Rhinolophus ferrumequinum: one gene and its partner. The protein of the gene in region 1 interacts with the protein of each later gene in a biochemical or structural test. Links are inferred from orthologs where the notes say so. Each region holds a gene or a part of one and is shown on either strand. Other genes may lie near its edges. The genes, in order: CREB1 and RPS6KA5.

The links.
Region 2: of the proteins of CREB1 (region 1) and RPS6KA5, one has a biochemical effect on the other in vitro, tested with the Homo sapiens proteins (3 studies listed by BioGRID, with this or other methods). The link is inferred for Rhinolophus ferrumequinum from reciprocal best matches to the Homo sapiens genes CREB1 and RPS6KA5.

The regions. Positions count from the first base shown.
Region 1 is NC_046291.1:25,102,725-25,113,728, forward strand, and holds the start of CREB1 (cyclic AMP-responsive element-binding protein 1), read right to left. Parts: upstream 4,486-11,004; 5' UTR 4,375-4,485; exon of another isoform or gene 4,259-4,374; intron 1-4,258.
Region 2 is NC_046289.1:11,156,522-11,167,494, forward strand, and holds the start of RPS6KA5 (ribosomal protein S6 kinase alpha-5), read left to right. Parts: upstream 1-5,981; 5' UTR 5,982-6,333; coding exon 6,334-6,427; intron 6,428-6,635; exon of another isoform or gene 6,636-6,781; intron 6,782-10,973. UniProt on the Homo sapiens protein: Serine/threonine-protein kinase that is required for the mitogen or stress-induced phosphorylation of the transcription factors CREB1 and ATF1 and for the regulation of the transcription factors RELA, STAT3 and ETV1/ER81, and that contributes to gene activation by histone phosphorylation and functions in the regulation of inflammatory genes.

The DNA of each region.
Region 1 (11,004 bases):
AAATAAATACAAGAAAAAAGCTAGTACACTAATCAGTATTAATGGGTTATAATATCCCATGAGAATAGTTATTTAGGTATCAAATATAAAAAAGGACTGTACTATGAGAGAGAGAAAACTATAGAGACTGTTTGGGCTGAAACAGTAATAGGAGGTAGAAGTCTGTTCAGGACTGTAAGAACCTCAACAAGAGTTAAATTCACTTTCATAGTTAATTCTTACACAGCTTATTTGCCTTTTCATGCACTGAAGCTAAAAAGGTAATTGAGGCAGTTCAAATAAATTCCTGTCACAAAATGCTATTTCTCATTTAATGAAGTATTTCATTCTAAGAAATAAAGACAGAATGACAGATTCCCTTAGTTTAAAAGGTCATATAAGACCTAAAAATAAAATCAGCTCATTAAGTGGTTGATAAATATAGGTAGATCCATACGATGGAATGCCTCAATAATAGTAATAATAATAATAATAAAGCTCTTTATGTATTGATACAAACCAATTGCTAAGCAATCTTAAGTGGAAAAAAGCAAGATATACAATAGTGTATATAGTATATATATCTTTTGTATAAAAAGGGGGGGTAGGAAAACACATACATATTTGCTTGTGTACAGATAGAATACCTCTGAAAGGACAAGAAATCAGTAACACTTGGGTGACTGGGGTGGGGGTGACACACATACACGACTTTTCCTATATTTTTTGTTTTGAATTATGAACTGAGTGAATTACTTATTAAAAATAAAATTGGAAATATAAAACTATTAATATTCTTTTTCCATTATTTTACCAAGTATGATTTCTCTTTCCTTTGATCGCTTTCTTATGACATATTCTGCCTTATTAGTCATTGAGTCCCTAAAAGTTTCCTTTAGGGTAGAGATAAGAGTGTTAAGTAATTTATTTTTTGACTTGCTGCAGCTTCTGCTCCACTGTATTAAACATAGTAACATTAATGATGAATAATTTTAATAATAGGAAACATTTGCTGAGCATTTGTGAAATACCTGATATTTAGTATGTATTAAATATTTTTATAGTTTACATGTATTAACTTATTTAATCCCCACATTTCTGAGGTAGATGTTGTACATTCATGACTGAGGAAACTGCCCAATGTCCCACAACTAGGAAGTTAAAATAAAACTTAAAATGAGTATCTATCACTGAGTCCCTAAGGAGGTACTTTATAATAATCTCACAACCATATAAAGTGGGTGGTATTATTCTAATTTAACAAATAAGGAAACTGAGGCTGAGAAAGATTAGGAAATTTCCCGTAAGTCACAAAATTCCTTGAGGGAAGGCACATGACGGTAATGGCCAAGTGATTCCAAACCTAACGCTCTTTCCATTAACTACATTCTCTGTCACAGTAAATTATAACTAAATATTTGAATTACCATAAACTGTTGTCTCAAGTGATACTGTGGTAGAAATGAGTTCACACGAGTAAGAAAAACAAAAATCCTTGCATTTTTTCCCCATTCCCTATCTACTATATCCATACATTCAGATTGGAGCTCTGACTATTCAATAAAGAAGACGTCACTCGAAGTAACACTGTTCATGAAGAAAGATATAAGACTGTCACAGGCTGCTACAAAACAGTGCATATAACTATATCAGACAAGGTATTTATGGAAGAAATGAAATTATAAATTTCAGTGATACATTGTAAACATTATGTTACAAGAAAAGTTTTTTCTACTATGGGAAAAGATTTTTAAATTGAGGTGAAGTGGGGGATACATACTTGGTTTTATTGTAACCATATATACTCCAAAAAACAAAACCCCGTGTTTTAGGAGACAGAACAAAGCTACTTATCTAGGAAGAAACAAAAATTTCTATTAAGGAGATCTAATCAAGAAGATGAATTTCAGAAAGCAGAAAAAAAGAGGTGCCATTTTATGGATCAGATTTCTAAGTTTCCTTAGGCTCTTCCGTGAAAAAAAAAAAATTCAAAAGGGGTAACACTAGATTTTTAAATCCCATTTAAAACATTTCCTAACATTTTTCAATTTCTGTTAAAGATTCATTCACTTTCTGAATACAGGTGTCCATTAAAAAATAAAAGTTCAAGCAGATTTAACTGATTTTTACTGATCCCTGAGAGGGTATAGAAATATAATTTAGTATCATGCTCCAAGTGAATATTCAATTAGTGAATATAACAAAGTTTGAAAAGTTTTACCTGGAACTGCTAAGAATTACAGATTATGAATCTATAAATAAAAGATCTTTTGGATAAGGCTGAAGAAAAAAATCCATCGGAAAACTTTTTTTTTCTTTTCAAATTTCACAGTGTTATTGTTCTGTATTTTCAGTAACGAAAAAAATTTAATCAACATACACTGGTTTGCAGAAAATCTTTCTTAAGGAAAAACAGTGCTCTATAGCTTCATCAATACTGTAACTTCCTGTGTTTGGAAATAAAATCATCTTCCCAAGCCTTATGGAAAAATTCTTTATTACATCTTAAGTTTTTCAATAACAAACTGCTGATGTGTTGTTGTTTTTTTTTTTAAACTGGCAATACAGCAAAAAATAAATAAAGTTTTGGAAAAGTGACTTGGATACAGAAAAATCAGAAGACAGTTCTTTACCAATCAATATTTATTCCTAACAGGAAACTTTGTACATATTAATCAATTGTATCATACTGTCATAGATTTTTAAAACAACCTGTTCATCTTTTGCACCACCTAAAAGTAACCGTTTTGGCTTTACTTTTAAATCAGGAAATGTGCAGTGAGTGTAAAAGATTTCAGTATCTGGCAACCAAAAGTATCTTTTATACTAAACCTTTAGAAGGCAGAACGGATGCAAGCTAAGGCCAGAATGAAATTCTATCTTCTTAAGAAGGTATGACAAACTTAAATAGGTCATATTCCAGGTCCTTTAAAAATTATCTTTTAATCTTTAATGTGTCAATGCCTTTTCTGCTGTGGCTTTTCCCAACAGGGAAACAAAATAAGCCTTGTGGTTTAAATTATTGTCAGTCTCAGGCTGGGGTTACCTACTTCATGGGAGACAAATAATGGATACTTTTAAATGCCTATTTTTTGTTAGTATCCATCAATATTATTGAAGTTTAGATAGAAACATGTGGGCAACAGGGTAGGAGGTGGGATGGAGAAATCCCGAAGACCCAAACGCGGTTAGCAAGGTTGGGGAAAAAAGTGATGTAAAGCAAAAGTACGTCGGCTAATATTCGTTTCAACGAAGTGTTTCAGAATGATAGATCTCAAATGATAACCTTATTGAAAAGGGTTAAAACCGAAACTGTTTTCAAACACCAGCTTCCCTTTTACAAGATCCCAACAGTTTTTTAAAAGTTGTTACAAATATGTTTTTCTTAGCACCCCCTTCCTCCCCAAAAGAATGCATTTCCATGACTACTGAGTTCAAAAAAAAAAAAAAAAAAGAGGGTGAGGGACAGAGTCAAAATTATCTAAAAATGCACGAGCCCTCATCATCTCAACTAAGCAGAGAAAACAACAGTGTTTCCCCAACGGGGTGGGAGCAGGGGGAAAGGGCATGAATAAAATACAGGACGAGAGGAAACCTTTGGTTTCGAACTTTATTGCACAAAGAGAGAGCGGAGAAGAGGAGGTCAGACGTTGCCGCGCTTCTCCGCGCGAAGCGGGCACGGCAGACAAGGCGGCTACCGGGAAGGCAGGCACCTTCACCTCCTCTGCCCTCCACGGTCGCCTTCTTCCTCCTTCACCCCCCGCAGGCACCCCGGCGGCGCTGCCCGGGCGGACGGCCGGGCCGGGGGCGAGGCGGGCGGCGGGGGCCTGGCGAACCGCATGGGGGCCAGCAGCGCCAAGATGGACCGGGACGGGCAGGCGGCCTCCCCCGGGGCGGCTCCTGGCTCCCGGCTCCGCGCCCGCCCGGCCTGGCGGCGGCGGGAACGCGGGCGCCAGCTCACCGCGGCCAGCCGCCCGCACACACCCCTGGTCGCCGGCTCCCACCCCGCCCGCTGCCCGCCGCCCCCCGCCATGAGCGCCGCCGCTGGCTGCAGGCAGAGTCGCTGCCGCCCCGGCCGCCGCTGGCTCCAGTCCGCCGCCATTATTCTTTGTTCGCTGCGAGCGGCGGCGATGTTGTGGGGCTCGGGCGGAGGCTCCATCTTTACCGCGGCCCCTCCTGCGAGGGGAAGGCCCCGAGCGCGGGTGTCCGGCGCCTCCCCGTCCCCCCTCCGTCCCCCCGGCTCTCTCCGGCTCCTGCCTCCTCCTCCTGCTCCTCTTACCGGTGGTACAAGCTCCTCCGTCACTGCTTTCGTTCGCGGCCCGGATCTCGCTGGAGTTTTATTCTCTCCCCCACGTAACACACCGCGTCAAACTACACCTCCGCCGCGTCACTCACCAACACTCCGCTTCTCCCTGCCGCCCGGGCCACAGGCAGCAGCAGCCGCCGCCGACTGAGGAGCCGCAGCCAGGGAGCCAGCCAGCGCCGCCCAGTGCCGAGTGCGCAGCGGCCGCGCACGGAAACAGCCGAGTTCGGCCCGGAGGAGCTCGAACGGCCCCGCCCCTCGCGCTGGAGGCGGAACTTCCCGAAGGCCTTCGGGCTCTTTCGGGCGAGGCGAAGGGGTTCCGCCAGGAGTAGGACGGCGAAGGTGGGCTGAGACCAGCTGGGGGAGGAGGGTTCCAAGCCCGCTGGGTTTTTGGACCGATAAAACCTGGCGGCGGAAATTTGAAAGAGGAAGTGGGGTTGGTGTGTGGCGGGGTGGGGAATTCCCGAGGGGTGTCGACGACTCGATGGAAACCCCCGTGTGGGCCTAGCCCTGCGGCGGTAAGCGGCGGGCGCTAGGGTGGCTGCGGCCGCCGGCCCGGGAACTTTCAAACGCTGCCGGGACGTGGAAGGCGCGCCGCGGGGTCTAGGACGCGGCTGAATGCGGGAGTCGTGAGAGGTGGGGAGGAAGGGCTGCTGCGCGTCTGCAGACGCCCCCAAGGCCGGGCAGGGCCGGGCGCTGGCACGGGAGGCCACTGCGCTGGGCCGGCGCGGGCCGTGGGTCAGCGGGGCCCCGGTGGGGAGGGCTTTCCTCCTCACTGCACTGGCCTGGCGGCCCCGCTCAGAATCAGCTGAGAAACCTGGCGGCCGCCGGCGACACTATTCTATTTTGGGGGTGGTGGGGGTGGGGATGGGGAGGCTCTGGGACTTGTGGCGTCTTTGCGGGGTTCAGCCCGGCTGCGCGGGCATCCAGGGTGATCTTCGGCCCTGCAGGGCCTCCTAGCAATGACCTGCCCTGACCGAGGTTGCTCTTCGCCACTTCCGAAATGTCTGCCCTCCTCCCTCACCTGCCGCCTTTTTTCTGGCATCCTGCTGTGTCGCTTTCTTTTCACAGCCTGTTTTCTGCAGCAATGGTTTGCACCCACCGCACCCTGTTCTTCACCACCCACTCGGGCTCTAAACCCGACAGTGTGACTTCTGTTGCCTCGCGGCTACTGAAACTCCTCTCTCAGAGGTCGTCCAAGGTCACGATGTTGAAGTCATTCTCCTTTTTATTGAACCCTGCAGCCCTCTCCCTGGGCTCTCAGGTCTTTTATAATTTTCTTTCTGTCCCTTAAAGCAAACCTGTCTTTAGGAAGCTGGTGAGACGGTCCAATCCTGAACTCCACCCCTTATTGGCTTCCTGTTACAAAGAGTAGCCCTCGGTGGTACTCGTTTATTTTTCCCTTCGTGGTACTCCGGGTCGATCATCTCCCGCTTTCTTCGGGACTTTGCGCTGAAGCGTATCCACCTTTCCTTCTGTTATTTTCAGTCTTTCCATCTCTACTGGCTTTCCTGTTTAGGATTTAAACATGTTTAAGTCTCACGTTTCTTTAAAAAGATTTGTCTCCTTAAATCCCTCTCCATCCATGACTTAAGTTGTCTCTTACCCCGTGGACATTCTCTCATGTCCCAATTCTCAACTCTCTCCAGTGGAGCTTCTGTTCCTACCACTGGACTGAAGCAGTTCTGATTTGTTCCAGACAAGCTTCAGTCATCATCTTATGAGACTTTCGTCTAGCATTGGACACTATCGACCACACCATCATCCAGGTAGACTCTTCCCTCTGCTCTTATATCAAAGTTTTCCTCTGACCTCTCTGGTTGCTTTTTAACAACCAGCTTCTCCTCTTTTATCCAACTCTTAATGATTGGAATCCCACTGAACTGAGCCCTCTCCGTGAGCCCCACCATATACACTTTCCTAGGTGGTCTCATGCTCTTCCAGTACCTTCAGATACGCTCTGCCAAAGTCTGGCCATCCCATAACTCAAGCCTAGATCTTGCTTTTATCTCTAGATTCATATTCCAACTGCCATTACTGCAGTTTCATTGGATGACTGGGGCATGTCATACTCAACCTGTATATCATATTCCCTCCAAAACCCTCCTCCCATAGCCCTGGGATCAGTAAAAGGCATCCTATCCATCTACTCATTTCAAGCCAGAAACCTGAGCTGTCTCTGACACACATCAGAATCACCTAGACCTGTCTGCCTTTAGAAATTGACTTTGTGGCCTCTCTCCATTCCTATGACCACTTTTCCACACCCCACTCTAGTCTAAGCCACCTTCATCTCTTGCTTGAAGTACTGCAAGTAGCTACCATCCAGAGCCTACGGAATTGCTCTTGGCTCTTTCCAATACATTTGCCATGCTGCAGACACCGTAATTTTACACATACAAATCTGATCAATTCACTGCCCTGCTTGAATTCTTTCGGTGGCTTCCCTTTGCGTACTGAACAGTCTAAGCTCTTTATTGTGGAGACCAGGCCCTCCACCACCTGGGCTTGTCATTCTCCCTAGCCTCTCCAGCTGTCCTCCTAGCTTTGCGCACCAGCCATATTAATCTTATTTTTTCCAGGCTCCTTTCTCTTTTTTACCCTTACTGTAGGCTCTCACCTCGTTATTTACACATACCATTCCCCTCCCTTGGAATTCTTTTCTGTCATCCTCTCCTACCTAATTGTAGCATCCTTTTCTGATTTATCATACCTGTAATTATTTATTTAGTGTCTACGTAAGGTCTGAGCCTGTGGGGACCATGTCTGTTTTGTTCACCACCAGCTTTTCCCCTTCCCTTTCATCCCTGACACAAGCACAATGTTTAGACTATAGCGGTACTCATTAAATATTTATGGACTAAATAATGAATATCTGTGCGGTTCTGGGATAAATTCCTTAATATTTTTAAATCCCAGTTCAAATCCTGGCTCAGTCACTTACGGCTATGCGACTTTGGGCAAATTGTTCACTCTTGTGCTTCGGTTTTCCCATCTGTAAAATAAAGATGATGACAGCACCTGTGTCATAGTGTTATTGTGATATAAAATGAGATCATTCATGGGAAGCGTACTTGGAACAGTGTTTGGTATATGTGTATACGTATTCAGTATTAATTAAAATGTTGCCTGTTACTAGATTTTAGTTGCATATCTCACCCTTGTGTCAAATACATTGTAAATTTGAGTTTAGCGTCTCCCTGCCCTTCTTCTTACCCTTGGCATTATTTACTCTGCTAGTCTATATTTATTACCTACCAAATATGGTCATTTTTTATTTTAAAGTTTCCTCATGTTCTGCCTCTCTGTTCACACTGACCTTCATGTAGGCTGTACCTCTTTATGTTATAGTTACTTTCCTGACTTCCTAGGTGCTTTCTGACTGCTGGCCCACTCCCCCTGCTCACTTGTGCCCTAGTGACAGTCCAGTGGGCCTCGGTTAGTAAATCCTGTATTCTTGCCTTCTTTCCTGGTCTCTTTTCACTTCACTTTGTTCACTCATTCATTCAATCATTCATTCATTCAAGTGCAAGTTATTTTACTAAGCATTTTGGATATACTTCAGCTTTGAAATCTAGTCTCCCAATATCATATATTCTGCTCTAGCATCTCCATACACTGTAGAAATGAACTAGAAATATTAAACTTTCGGCATCCATTTTTTGTCTCTGGGATTTGGAAAATACCCCCGGTTTTGACTTAAATTTTTATTGGAAAATATGGTCAATATTGGGGAGATAAAAGTAGAGAAGAGCACACGGATGTAACTTGACATAGTATTAAGTGCCGCAAGAGAGGTCCAGAAAAGGGGGAGGGTCTCTTGAGATGATTATAAAAGTTTTCAAGGAGAAGATGATATTTGAGAACTTTTCTCTAACCACGGCTTCCTTTTCCTGTTATTTTTCTCTTGCTTCCGCTGTTGAACCTAGTTTTCACCCTCACTGCAAATTCAAGTTCCATGAACCCTGCTTATTCTCATGACTTAATTTGCTTTCCTACCTAACCCCAAGGCTATGGTGACTTCTCTTGTTTATTCTAAAAATAAATATCGAGTGGCACCTGCTTTGTGCCGTATACTTTTAGAAATTGGGGATCAGTGCTATTAATGTTATCAAAGCTCATGAAAAAAATCTCATGATTTGAATTGGACTTTCCAGATAGTTTTCCAACCGAGAAGAGGAAAGCACTGATACGTTATAACTATTCCTGGTCTGTGTACCGGTTATGGTTCCCATGTAAATTAATATATTTCTTCTTAAAATTAATCTTAAACAATAATAACCAAAAAACCTTTTTCCGCTTCCTTCTCTAGCTACTGCCCCATTTATTTTTTCTGTCTTTACAGTAAATATCATTGAAACAGTGCTCTATTCACTACCCCACTTCCTTTTCTCTCATTTTCTGTTGAATCTCCTCCAGTTATCTCTTGCTGTCACCAAAAGTGCTCTCCGTGTCACTTACTGTGCTCAGTCTTTGTCTCACTTGACCCATCAGCAGTATTTGACACAGTTATCGTTCCTTCCTCCCTGAAGCACTTCTTCGCTTGTTACACTTGTTTCTTCAGTGTTACAGGATACTTCACTCTCCCGGTTTTTGTCCTGTGCTACTGGTCACTATTCTTAATCTCCTTTGCTCACTGACCGCTTCATATTGGAGAATGCCAGGACTCTGTTCTTGGATCTCTTCTATTTCTATACCTGCTCCCTTAGTGATGTCTTTAGGGCATTAGATATGGTCAGGATGCTCCCAACTCCCTAGTCTCAGATCCGCACTTGTACGTATATCCGGAATTTCAGCATCTCCACTTGGATGTTGCATAGACGTCCCCATTTTATTATGTCTGACACTGAACTCCTCATTGCCTGTCCCCTCAAAAACCTTTCCCTACAGCCTTGTCTCTCAGTTAATGGCAACTCCAGCATTCCCACTGCAGAGGCCAACTCAGTAACTCGCTCACCCCCATATCCAATGTGTCATCAAACCCTGTTGGTATCAAAGTATACAACCACTCTTTCCATCTCCACTGATACCACCTTGGTTGAAGCCCCTGTCACCTTTGACTAGGATTTTGTATCAGCCACACTTACCCTTCATTCTGTTCTCAGTATAGCAGCCAGAGTGATCCTTTAAAACATAAAGCCAACCACACCATGATTCTGTTCAAAACTATCCAGTAGCTCTCCGTCTCAGAAAAAGAACAATTCTTACAGCTAGACCTACAAGACCCCATTTCCTCTCTGCTCTCACTTCTGCTGTTCGTCCCTTCTCTGCTCAGGCCTATTGGCCACCTTTCTGATCCTCAAACCCTTTGGACATACTCGCTCCTCAGGGACTTTGCATGTGCTGTTCCCTCTGCTCAGAAGGCTCCTTCCAGACATTTTTATGTCCTCTTCCCCTCTTCAGGTCTTTGCCCAGATGTCTCCATTTTCTGTGAGGCCTTCCCCTACTATGATGAAAACTGTCCACCCTACACCCCACCTCTCTCTTTGCTCCTTTGCTTTCCCTTTCTCTCTTTGCTGCTTTATTTTTCTCCATAGCACCTATCTCTTTCTGGTATGCCATATACTTCACTAACTTATTGTGTTTGTTGTCTGACGCCTCTAGGGCAGGGACTTGTGTCTCTCTTTTCACTGCTGTATCCTGAATATCTAGGATAGAGTCTTGTACATAGCTCACACTCAAATGTTTGTTGAGTGAATGCAGTTGAAATTCTGGATTTAATATTAATCTCCTGGCATTGGTTAATTTAAACAGGTCTCCCTCAGCCTGATCACCTCTGGATGCATCTATAAATACTGAGTTTCTGTATTGCAGCCTGAATCATGGTGGTTCCACCAAAGTATGGCCTTCTTGTGGGGTCTGATTTCAGCATGGCCATGCTCCCAGCCATCTCTGTCTCACTTCCATGTATAGTATTCTTCCTCGTAATCCACTCTTTCACTTACCCACAGTCAAGTATGATCTGAAAACATTAAATGGAAAATTCCAGAAGTAATTCTTATGTTTGACATTGTATGCTATTCTGAGTAGTGTGATGCAACCTCACGCCGTGCTGCTCCATCTTGCCCAGGATGGGAACCGTCCCTTTGTCCAGCCTATACTCACTGTATCCTCCACTTGCCCTTTAGTCACTTAGTAGCCATCTTGGTTATCAGATCAACTGTATCAATACTGCAGTACTTGTGTTCAAGTAACCCTTATTTTTCTTAATAATGCCACATTCACATAACTTTATTACAATATCTTGTTGTAATTGTCCTACTTTATTATAGTATTAATCTCTTACTATGCCTAATTTATAAATTAAACTTTATCATAGATATACATGTATGTGTGTATGTATGTGTAGGGAAAAACATAGTATATATAGCGTTTGGTACTATCTGTGGTTTTAGGCATCTACTGAGGGTCTTGGAATGAATGCCCTGTGCATAAGGGGAATCTGCCGTAACCTGAAGGAGATGAGGACCTCACTGAAGGTTTCTGATCTCCCACGTCAGAACTGAAGAACCGATCGGCAAGATTCTGGTTGCTTTTAATTTCTGTTTTGAGGACCAAATGGTAAGCAGCATTCTCATCTTGCTTGTGACTGAAAGCAATGCCATGTAAACAAAGTTTGCCTCTTATCCCCCTAGAAAATTCAAAAAGGCCAGTGGTTGACAATTAAAACCGGTAGTAGTAACAAGTGAAGATTTATCGAGGGTTTACTATGCGCCAGGCAC
Region 2 (10,973 bases), on another chromosome or scaffold:
TTGTTTTTGGTGCCTTTAGCCCCTGACTTGCAATTTTTCCTCCTAACATCTTTACTACCTCTGAAAAGTTGCTGTTGTTTCAGAACTCCAACTTGCTCTTACTCACCATCCTCTCCTCTGTTGGTTGTACATCAGAGTTGTACATTACAAAACTGGTTCTACGTTATAATCACGGGAGGGAGGGGTGCTTTCAAAAGAATTCTGAAGTCTAGGCCCTTTCCGAGACCAATTCAGTTGCACTTTTCAGGGGTGGGAGTTGTTGTTGTTGTTTTTAAACATCCCAGGGGACTCCAATGTGCAGCCAAAGTTGAGAAATGCTGTTTTACTCCTTTATGTTAATTCACTCCCGCTCCTGGACTCCAGCCTGTTCTCCCAGGCTAGCAGTTTATCCTGGGCTTCACTGCCTGCTCCCTCAGCTTAGGCCCCAGGGTCACTCATTTCAACCAGGCTGATGCCCAACTGCTAGTCTCCATCCCCAAGGGGGAATGTAAGTTGCTAGAGGAAGATATTAAACTATCTGATTCAGGTTTTCTAAGTCCACCTGGGCCCCCAGTGTTAGGCAGCAATTACCCAAGCTGGCTTGCTATATTTATTTTTCACAGTGACTGTCCCAAACTGTTTCCACCATCTTCAGTTCCCAGGTCCATCTCTTCCCATCTCCCCCATCACTCAGCACAGGGTTTGCGTCTCTGAAATAAAGTCTTTGCTACATGAATGAACATCTGAGTGGGTATGAACTCTCAACAAGTGGGATTAGCTCATAGGGCTTATTCCTGCTTTACTGAGATTATACCCTAAACTGGCTCCTCTTTTTATATGTACTCTTTAAATGTAGGTTTCTGACTCTTTCATTCGTTCATTCATTCAACAAATATTTACTGAAAGTCCATTTTAAGCTAGAACCTATTTTACATGCCAGGGATATCGAGATGACATGGCCAAGACACCCCCAAGTCTATAAGCTGGTCCGTGCCTGCCTCTGGCTCCTCCTCTCCCTCTCCTTCCTTGGTGAAGGACGTGGCGCCTCCTCCCATCAGAAGTAAACCTCTCAGCCAGCTCAGGCTCCCAGCCCCGCCCACTTTGTCAGAGATTCACTTCAGTGTTTCTCAACCTTTCCCCCATCCACCCATCTCATCACCATTCAAACATGTTCCAGCATTTCTCATCTTAAAAAAGCCATCAGATAGAAAATTACCATTAGAATGTCGCAGCCATAACTGCTGTAGGCAATATCCACCAGTGGATGTTAAAATTAGTGCGGGAAAGTCTAATGAGAAACAGGATATTTGCATAGTCTAAAAGTATCTCACAGGCCTCCCAGTATTCATTAATTACAATGGGAAAAACAATTACTTTGGAGTAGAGAAACATAGCAAACACCACCTCAACCAAGTGCTCGAGGTTAACCCCACAAGTACTAAGAATATACATTTCTTGTACCCAATCAGATGAATTGATGAAGACCCCATCACCTCTGTAGCACTCTTGACAAAAAATGTGCAACTTCAATTTACTCACAGGAAAATATCAGGCACACCCAAATCAGAGGGCAGTCTCCAAAGTACTCGACCAGTATTTTTCGAAAGAGTTTAGTTCATGAAGTTAAGGCAAGACTAAGGAACTGCTACAGATTGGGAGAGACCAAGGAGCCATGACAATTAAACATAATGTAAGGTCCTGGATTGGATCTTGGCAGAGAGAAAGGGCATGGTTGTGTTCCAATGAAACTTTATGGACCCTAAAATGTCAATGTCACATAATTTTCACGTGTCACAGTACACTCTTCTTTTAATTCTTTTTCAACCATTTAAAAATATAAAAACCATATTTGTGGAAAAAGTGGTAAAATCTGTAGAGTCTTTATTTAATGATATGCCAATGTTAATTTCTCAGTTTTGATGATTGAACTATGGTCTGTAACATATTCACATTAGGGGAAGCTGACTGGAGGGTATGTGAAAATTCTGTACTGTTTTTGCAACTCTTCTGCAATTTTAAAATTATTTAAAAATAAAAAGTAAACAAACAAAACCTCCTTCAATCCTTCCTTCTCTATTTTCCTTCAGAGACAAACTCCTTGAAGAAGATGTCCACACACACTGTTTTTATTCCACCTCCCATTTTCTCTACCGAAACTGCCTTGGATATTATCACCAATGGCACCGAAGTTGGCAAATTCATGGGCTCTTTCCACACCTCATCTTATGTGACCTTTCAGGGCATGTGACCACTCCCTTCTTCTTGAAACACTTTGGCTTCCAAGAAACAAACTCTCCAGGTTTTTCTCCTACCTCTCTGGCTCCACCTTTCATTCCAATGTCACAACGTGAAAATTCCTTAGATTTCAGTCCTGTGCTCCTCGTCTGTCCGCACATTCTCTCCCCAGGGAAGCTTACTCATATTGTGGCCTCAGATAGCATCTATATGCTAATGATTTCTCTATCCTATATCTCTCTGCAGTGCTCCAGACTCATATATCCACATAGCTACTTAATATTGGCATTGGATGTTTCGACAGGAAACTCTTGATATTCTCTCTGATATGTGCTTTTCCTTTAATTCACTGCTCTCCTTAAATGGTACCACCACTCTCTTCCATCTACCCAGTTGCTCATGCGAGAAAATTTGATTTCAGAAACCCTTTTATCCCTCACCCATCAAATCCAATCCTTTATGAAGTCCAAAATGTATATCTAGAAACATTCCATTTCTTTCAATATCTACTGTATCCACTGTCATCTTTTGCCCAGAATACAGTGATAACCTCCTAACTTGTCTCCCTGTATTTCCTCTTGCTCCCTCCAGCCCAGTGTCCAAACACTAACCACAGTGACCTTTGGAAAATACTACCCCAATTATACCATTCACCTGTTAAATTCCTTCCATTCCTTCTAACTTCACAGAGGAAAAAAAAATTCCAAAAATATTAATAAGTCCTACCATACACTTTGTGATTGGATATCTGCCTGCCTCCCTCACCTCATCTCTTGCTTACTGTGGACCTGTTGGCTTTCTCTCAATCCCTAAAATACAATGGGCCCTTTGCTTGCCTCACGACCTTGCATCTGCACCTTCCTAGAATTTTATCCCCCCAATAATTCACTTGTGAAATCATCAAGGTAGGCTAGATTATGCTTCGTTAGCAAGCAACCCCAACATCGCCATAGCTCATGCCTGATAAGATTTATTTATTGCTCACATGACAGTCTGATTGTAGGTCAGGGTGGCTCTTCTTCAAGACTCAGGGGTTCAGGGGTCCTCTAAATTGTGGTACCCCGACATTCGAAATGCAGCCTTTGTAGTTGCTGTGGAAAGAGTAAAGAGCGTGAGTGATTATGCATGGGGCTTTCTCTGCCGGGCTTGGAAAGGCCCACATCGTGTCTGTTCACACCCCATCGGGCCGATCACGTCACATGACCCTATCCTAACTTCAAAGGAAAAAAAAATTGTAGTTTTTCTGTGTGTCCAGGAAGAGGAAACGAGATTGGTGAGCATCAGGCCAGTCTCTGCCACTTCCTGGTAAAACCTACTCATCTTTAAAGAATCAGCTTAAATAATACTTCCTTGTAAAGGCCTTCAAGTTTTTCTGACCTAAATTAGACCCCCCTGATATATTCTATTGTAGCACTCTATGATTTTCCTTTGCCTCATTATCACAATCGTAAGTTTCCATTTCCTTATGTAATGATTTAAGATTTATTTCCATTTCTAGATGGGATTGCATGTTTTGCTTTCATGGTGCTTGTAGCATCTATCACAGTACTTGGTAGATAATTGGTGTAAAAGTTGTTAAGTGAACAAATGAACAATTGCACACAGTCATTCCCTGGCTACAAACAGCTCACTACTTGTGAAGAAGAAAGACAAGTATGTAGACAGTCATGGTTTAGTGGGATAAATGTTCCAGGCAGGTAAGCCCCAGGAGCTGAGGGCAACCTGAAGAGGCTGTCCAGACGTCTGTGCTTTATCTTCCATGGCAATCTAATCCAGGAGTCTATAAACTATGGCCTGCAGGCCAGGTCTGCTTTACAGCCTGTTTTTTTTTTTTTTTTTTTTTTTTATGGCCCAAGAGCTAAGAATGGGTTTTATATTTTTAAATGGTTGAAGAGAATTAAAGGAATAAGAATACATTATGACGTGACAATTATGCGAATTATAATTTCAATGTCCATAAATAAAGTTTTGTTGAAACACAGCCATATCCATTAGTTTACTTATTGCTTATGGCTGATTTCAATAGCAGAGTTGCATAGCTGTGAAAGAGACCACATGGTCAGCACAGCCTAAAACATTTACTATTTGGTCCTTTACAGAAAAACTTTGCTCACTTCTGATCTAATCCATGCTTAGTTTAAAAGTTCATTTCTATGTGAATTATGTCCAAGTTTCCATCTTTAATCCTCTCCTTTTCCCATTCTCATGTCCACTGCCAGAAATCAGGCCCCCCTAAATTCTGTCTTTGCAGGAGTGTTTTTGCCCTGCTATCTTTCTCTTCCTCCCTTCAGTCTATCCTTCTAACTAACTTCTAAGAGAACAACTTTGATATTTGTAATGGAGGGGCTCAGCTCCCAGCAGGTGAACGCAGGATATGGTAAGGCTGAAAAGGAACAACAACGGAGCCACGGATAGGTGGTTCATACCACTAGATTCTCGATGGCGGCTGGTCGAGACATGGGAAGCAAACATCCGCCAATACCTTAACCAGGGGTCTTCCTGCACCACAGTCTCGATGGTGGCCGGAGGAGACACAGGAAGTAGAATCCTCAAGACCTGCACTTGCCAACGTAGCCGCTGCAGTTATATAGCATACAGAACAATAGTGGCTGGCGGCCAACTGGTTACAGCTGACGGCCAACTGGTTCTAGCTGATGGCCAACTAATTACATAAGTGCTTGCATGTGCGGGTTACATAACCAAGCCAGCACCTTAACTAGTCTTTGAGGCTCCCCATCTTTAATTAAATAAAATCTGCACTGTTTAGCCTGGTAGTCAAGGTTCACCATTATCTTACCACATCTTACCTTTTTAGCAGCGTCTTCTACATCGTACTCCATGCAGCCCATCTTTACTTAACCCATCCTTTCCTTCTTTACCTCCAGGCCTATGTTCAAAGTTACCATCTCTGTAGGAAATGTCTGCTTCTGGTATTTCCGTTTTCCCCATTCTTTAAGTTGGTTATTTCAAATGTCCCCTTTCCCTAAAAGCCTTCCCCACCTCCTCTACCGAGAATAATTATTGCCATCTGTGTAATTCTCTAACAGTTTGAATGACTGTTTTATTTCAAATCCAGCTCTATGGTCTCCTGTATATACAGAAAGATTGTCTGTTTCTCATGTCCTATTGAAAGTCTCTCAGGGGCAGGGATTATATTTTATTTTATTAATCTCTGTATCTTTTTGGTGCCTAGGATGCGTCTTGCACAAAATGGAAATGTCTATCCTTTGCAAAAGTTCTGGAGAGCTGGGATTGTGAATTTTTGCTAAGAACTACCTGTATTTAAGTACAAATCCACTTAACTTCTTTAGGGCTCACTAGAGCGAATAACACCTTTTTAAAGACACGTTGTCTTCCAGCTGTCACACATCTGTGTATCGCTATCTGGGACCCTCAGGTACGTCTGCAAACACGTGTGTGAGAAGCACTTCCCCTCCCCAGACCACGCCTCTGTCCACGGTGATTGGCAGACCAAACATTAAAATCAGCCCTCTCCGCCCTTTCAGCATTAGCCAATCAGAGACCCCGAGATCCTCCTGACTACTAGACACTATTTACTAACAGATCGAAGCTGGGGAATAGGGGTGTGACCATTCTGGGGAGGTCAGGGAAGGGAAGGTCCCGACTGCGCGTGCGCAACAGTGGAAGTGGGCGGCGCACAATCTCGATTTCACCAATCGGAGTGGTCGCGCTCCTCCCTCTCCTGCCTCCCCGCCAAGCAACAACAATTCGAGGAGCGGGGCGGGGTAGCTCGAGAAGCATCAGAGCGGATTGCCCAATGGAAGCCGGCGTTGACAGATGCGCGCGCTCTGTGCCCAATAAGCGATGGCGGCTCGAATGGCTCCTGTACCTTGCTGGCTGTGGGCGGAGCGGCTTGAAGGAGGAGGCGGCGGACCAGGGGGCGGTTTGGTTGCGCGGTACTAGCGGTGCCCGCCGTAGGGGGAGGAGGCGGAGGAGCGAGCCGTGCGGCCAGAGCGGGAAAGAGACTCGTCTCTGCGTCCGAGTGCTGGAGCCGCCGCACCGCGGCTCCTGGGGCTGCAGCGGGAGCTGTGAGGGGCCGGGCGTCCTCTGTCTCTCGGGTCCCCTTGTAGAGCCCCGCGGGATCGGAAAACGGAGAAGATGGAGGAGGGCGGCAGCGGCGCCGCGGGGACCAGCGGGGACGGAGGCGCCGGGGGAGAGCAGGTCCTCACTGTCAAGCACGAGCTGCGGACGGGTGAGCGACCCCGCCTTCTGCCGGCCGGGCCCGGCGCGGGGGCGCGCCCCGAGGGCACGCGGGTGCCCGCGCGGGCCGGGGGGGGGGCGCGGGGCTGGGCAGTCGCCGCGGGGGGCGGGCCCGGGGCGGGGCCTCGCGGGCGGAGCAGGAGGCCGGGGTCCCGGGATGTGGGGGCGCGCCCAAGGGGAGCGGTCGGAAAGTTTTCGGGAGCCGGGGAATGAGCGGCGGGCGCTGGGCGTTGGAGCCCGTGGGGCAGCCGACAGCTGCCTGTTGGCACTCGTCTCCGAGGATGTCTTCGGGCCCCCTTCCCGCACAGGTGACACATCTGTCACTGCATCCTGTTTGGGGTAAAAGGTGCGCCTTCCTCAGTGTGGGGAGAACGACACTTTGTTTTGGAGCGTGACTCACTTCTCCACCCCTCTGCTTCCCGTGAGGTGGTCCTGGTGGGGCTGTGTGGAACCATCCCCTAAGGTGCTGGGGTCCTGTACTAGATAACAGGGAGGCTGTCCCAGCGCTTTTCAGGCGTGCATTCTCCAGTGAGATAAAGAGGGATCGCAGGCCCCGGGGACTGAGTGCTTTTATTTGCAATTGTCATGAAATACTATACTTGGCCTTAAATTTCTTTCAGAGGTCTCTTGAGATGAAGAGTCTATAAATTTAAAGCTCTAGGTAAAAGCGACTAGCTAGCCGGCTTAAGCACTTACGTTCTGATGTTTGAGATCACTAGAGTTGTCCCAGCTTTATACTTGTTACTTTATTCGTTGTGTGGGTCAGGGTTCCTATTAGAAAATGCTTATTTGGACTAATGAGTAAGTTTGAATTTATATCTGTGGAGCCCAGTTTCATATAAGAGATTCTTTTTTATTTCTGAACAGATACTACATTAGTGAGTTGTTCATTATTACTATTAAATATTCTTGTGGACATTTATAAAGGTTTTTGATGGAGCTACTTTGGAATATTGGATATTCTTTGATTATGTAGACACAAAGCTTATACAGCAGGTTTCAGGTGCACGCTTAGGACATCTTGTTACTGTTTTGAACAGATTGTAAAGTTCGATCTGTCGCTATTCTTTTAGTTTTTGTTATTTCTAATTTGATTGTCAGTTATTCCACGGAGTGCCAAGTGGTGAGTTGGTTTAAGAGGATGTCAAATGCATGGTTACTAATTTCAACATTTTTAAACATTGTTTTTTTGGTCGTTGTGAATTTATGTATCTTGAGTCAGTTACTCCATAATCTTTTTAAGTTCCTAATATAACCTGTGTGGGTTTGGTTGGTTTGATTTTTCTCTCTCAATTTAATAGATAACTGATGTTTTCAAAGGCCTATTAAAACATGTATTCAGTATTAATATCTGATTTGTGCCTGGCTCAGGGTTAGGTGCTTTCTTGTGTGGAGATTTTTAATTTCTTTTTCTTAGCTTACGTAACGAGTCACTGATTTATATATGTAGAATCGTGCTGTACTGCAAAAGCTACTTGAATCATACGCTCCTTGGTCACTGACCATAGTGCAACAAGCAGCTTTTTGCTAAATGACCAAAGAGCAACTTATTTGTTTTTAATAGTCAACCAACTGCTCAGTTTCTGGGTTTTGCAAACAATGCTAGTTTTGGAGAAAACAATGAGTACTGCTTTATTTCCCCTTCTCTACTGTGTGAATCATCAGCTTCAAGTTTGCATTTCAGAAATTTTTCTGATGGATGGTGAGATTACACTGAATTCATTAGTACTGTTAACTGTCAAAGGAAATGAATAGTCATTTTGATTTATTGCTGACCGGATATAGTGGTCAAAAACACTGTTAAAATGTAGCTTGAAAAATTCACTCATCTTCAGCCAACTGTGCTCCTGTCAGCACATGATGCTATAATAGGCGCCAAGGTAATTTGATCTGATATGGTCCCTTGCTTCTCAAAATGTGGACAAGTCTATAGTCATATCAAGTTAGCAGTTGCTGATTGCCCATCTGTGGCCAACACTGTATGGTATGCGGTAGGATGCATGAAAAGGCAATGAAAGTCACATGGAAGGGCATGGAAATTGTTGCAGTTGTGTAGACTGGACCTGGAAGACTTCGTTCTAAATCCCAGCTCTGCCATTTTATAGCTGTGTAGACTTAGATGAGTCACTTTACTCTTTCAGACTCACTTCTAGCATCTACAGAGTGTGAGAAATTGAATGAGACCCTGTTGGAAAAGTGCTACGCAGGTTGCTTGGCACGTATTAGGCACTCAGGAGATGTTGGCTGAATGTCAACCTGAAAATCACTCCATAACAGTGTCTTTTCTTCAAGTGTGTGAATTAGTCTAATATCACTTGGAAAACGAATCGCTCATTTGTGGGCAAGCTATGCCACATTGCCTGCCTATCATCTTTTTCGGTACGTGTCTTCTGAAGTAGAGTGTTAACACCCCACAATCCCTGCTGCTGCTAAGCAGCCTGTGCATGTCTCTTTAATAGCATTTCACACAAATACTGTATAATCAATCTACTTGTCTGTGCTAGAAAGTAAGGCCCTTGAGACCTTGTTCTTTATTCTTTATCCATGTCCTTTGTCTATTTTCAGCCCCTGGTATATGGTGGGCACTCACATATTTATTGAATGAATTCACTGAATGGATGAAAATGTAAGATCAAGTCTAACCATTTATTGTATTCTCAGTACGTTGGACATATTAGCTGGTTGATAAATTGATGACAGTGGCTATAAAAGCTGAAGGAATGAAGAGTAAAGAATTGATTAGACTGGTTAAGCATGTATTTCTTGAGCACTTTATGTTTTCTAGACTAGATGGTCCTGATGATACCAGAATGACTAAGAAAACGTCTTGCCCTCTGATAGCAGGGGAGGAGGCCATGTAAACCAGTCATTAGAATATATTGTCATAAGTATAATATTAGAGGGATATACAGAGTATAAAGGTAGCAAAGAAAAGGTTAGGACTTTTAGGTTTCAAATAATCGACTCTAATTCTGTTGAAAAACAGCAACAAGAAATGGTGGGGGTATTATTGGAAGGGTACTGGGTTATCTTATCCATTCACTTATTCAATAACTATTTCATTACCTCTTATGTACTGAGTGCTGTTTTAGGTACTGGGGTTGCGTATGGTCTTCCCACTGGAAGGATAGAGTTGCATCAGGAATCGCTGGAACCAGAGGCTTATGTTGTCTGTACTCTCTCCGTCTTTGCTTGTCTGTGTGTAATGACTTTATTCTTCTCCACTGCTGTCCAACTTTTCCCACATGGGAAAGAACATGCCTGCTGACAGGCCTCAAGTTTTAGATCTTACAGCTTCAGGTGCTGGAGAGACACTGCCTTTTACTTAGCTTAAGGTACGTATACAAATCAGGAAAGGACATTATTGGCCCGACTGGTCAGGTGCCCTCTTTTGGATCATTCAGCTGAGGCGGGGGAATGGGAGTATGTCCGACTAACGTGACAGCTATTACGGGTGGGGGTGAAAAGGAACTCTTAGAAGAGGGAGGGTTCCTGGGAAGACACTTCCTTAGGTGTCCATCATTAGGAGAGAGAGCCTAGCTGAGGAGAGGGTTAAGGAAGGGGTATTAGTTATCTATTGCTGGGTACCAAATTACCCCCAAACTGAGGGGTGTATAAAGCGACGTGATTTCGGCGTTGCTTAGCTCGATGGTTCTGACTCGGAGTGTCTCATGAGGTTGTAGTCGAGATGTTGGCCGGGGCTGCAGTCTCCTGAAGACTTGTTTAGGAGCTGAGGTTCCCCTTCTAAGACGGCTCACTCATGTTGTTGGCAGGATGCTCCATAAGGATGGCTGAATGTCCTCATGACAGTTGGCTGCCCCAGAGCAAGTGACTGAAGAGAGAGCAAGGTGGAAGCCACCATACCTTTTTCGTTAAACCACTTTTTCTGAGATATAATTTACATACCATAAAATCCACTTCTTTAAAGTGTACAATTCAGGGAATTTTATGTATTTATAGAGTTATACAACCATCAGCACGATCTAATTTTAGAACATTTCCATCACTTTAAAAAGAAATGTCTTACCCGTTTTATATCAGTCACTCCACATTTCCACCACCCATCCCCAGCCCTAGGCAACTGCTAATTCTACTTTCTGTTTCTATATATTTGCCTAGGAACACTATAATATAATAGCGTTTTACAATATGTGGTGTTTTATGACTGGCTTTTTTCACTGAACATAGTGTTTTCAAGATTCATCCATGTTGTGTCATGTATCACAACACATGTTTTTAAATTAATGGTATTCCGTTGACGGATATACCGTATTTTGTTTATCCATTCATCAGTTGATTGACATTTGTGTTGTTTACACTTTTGGCTATTGTGATTAACGCTGCTATGTACATTTGTGTACAAGTTTTTTGTGTGGACTTACGCTTTCATTTCTTTTGGGTATGTACTAAGAGTTAATTACTGGATCACATGGTAAGTCTGTGATTAACTTTGTAAGTTTTCCAAAGTAGCTGCACCACTTTACAGTCCCACAAGCAATGTACAAGGGCTCCAATTTGTCCACCTCCTGTCAACACTT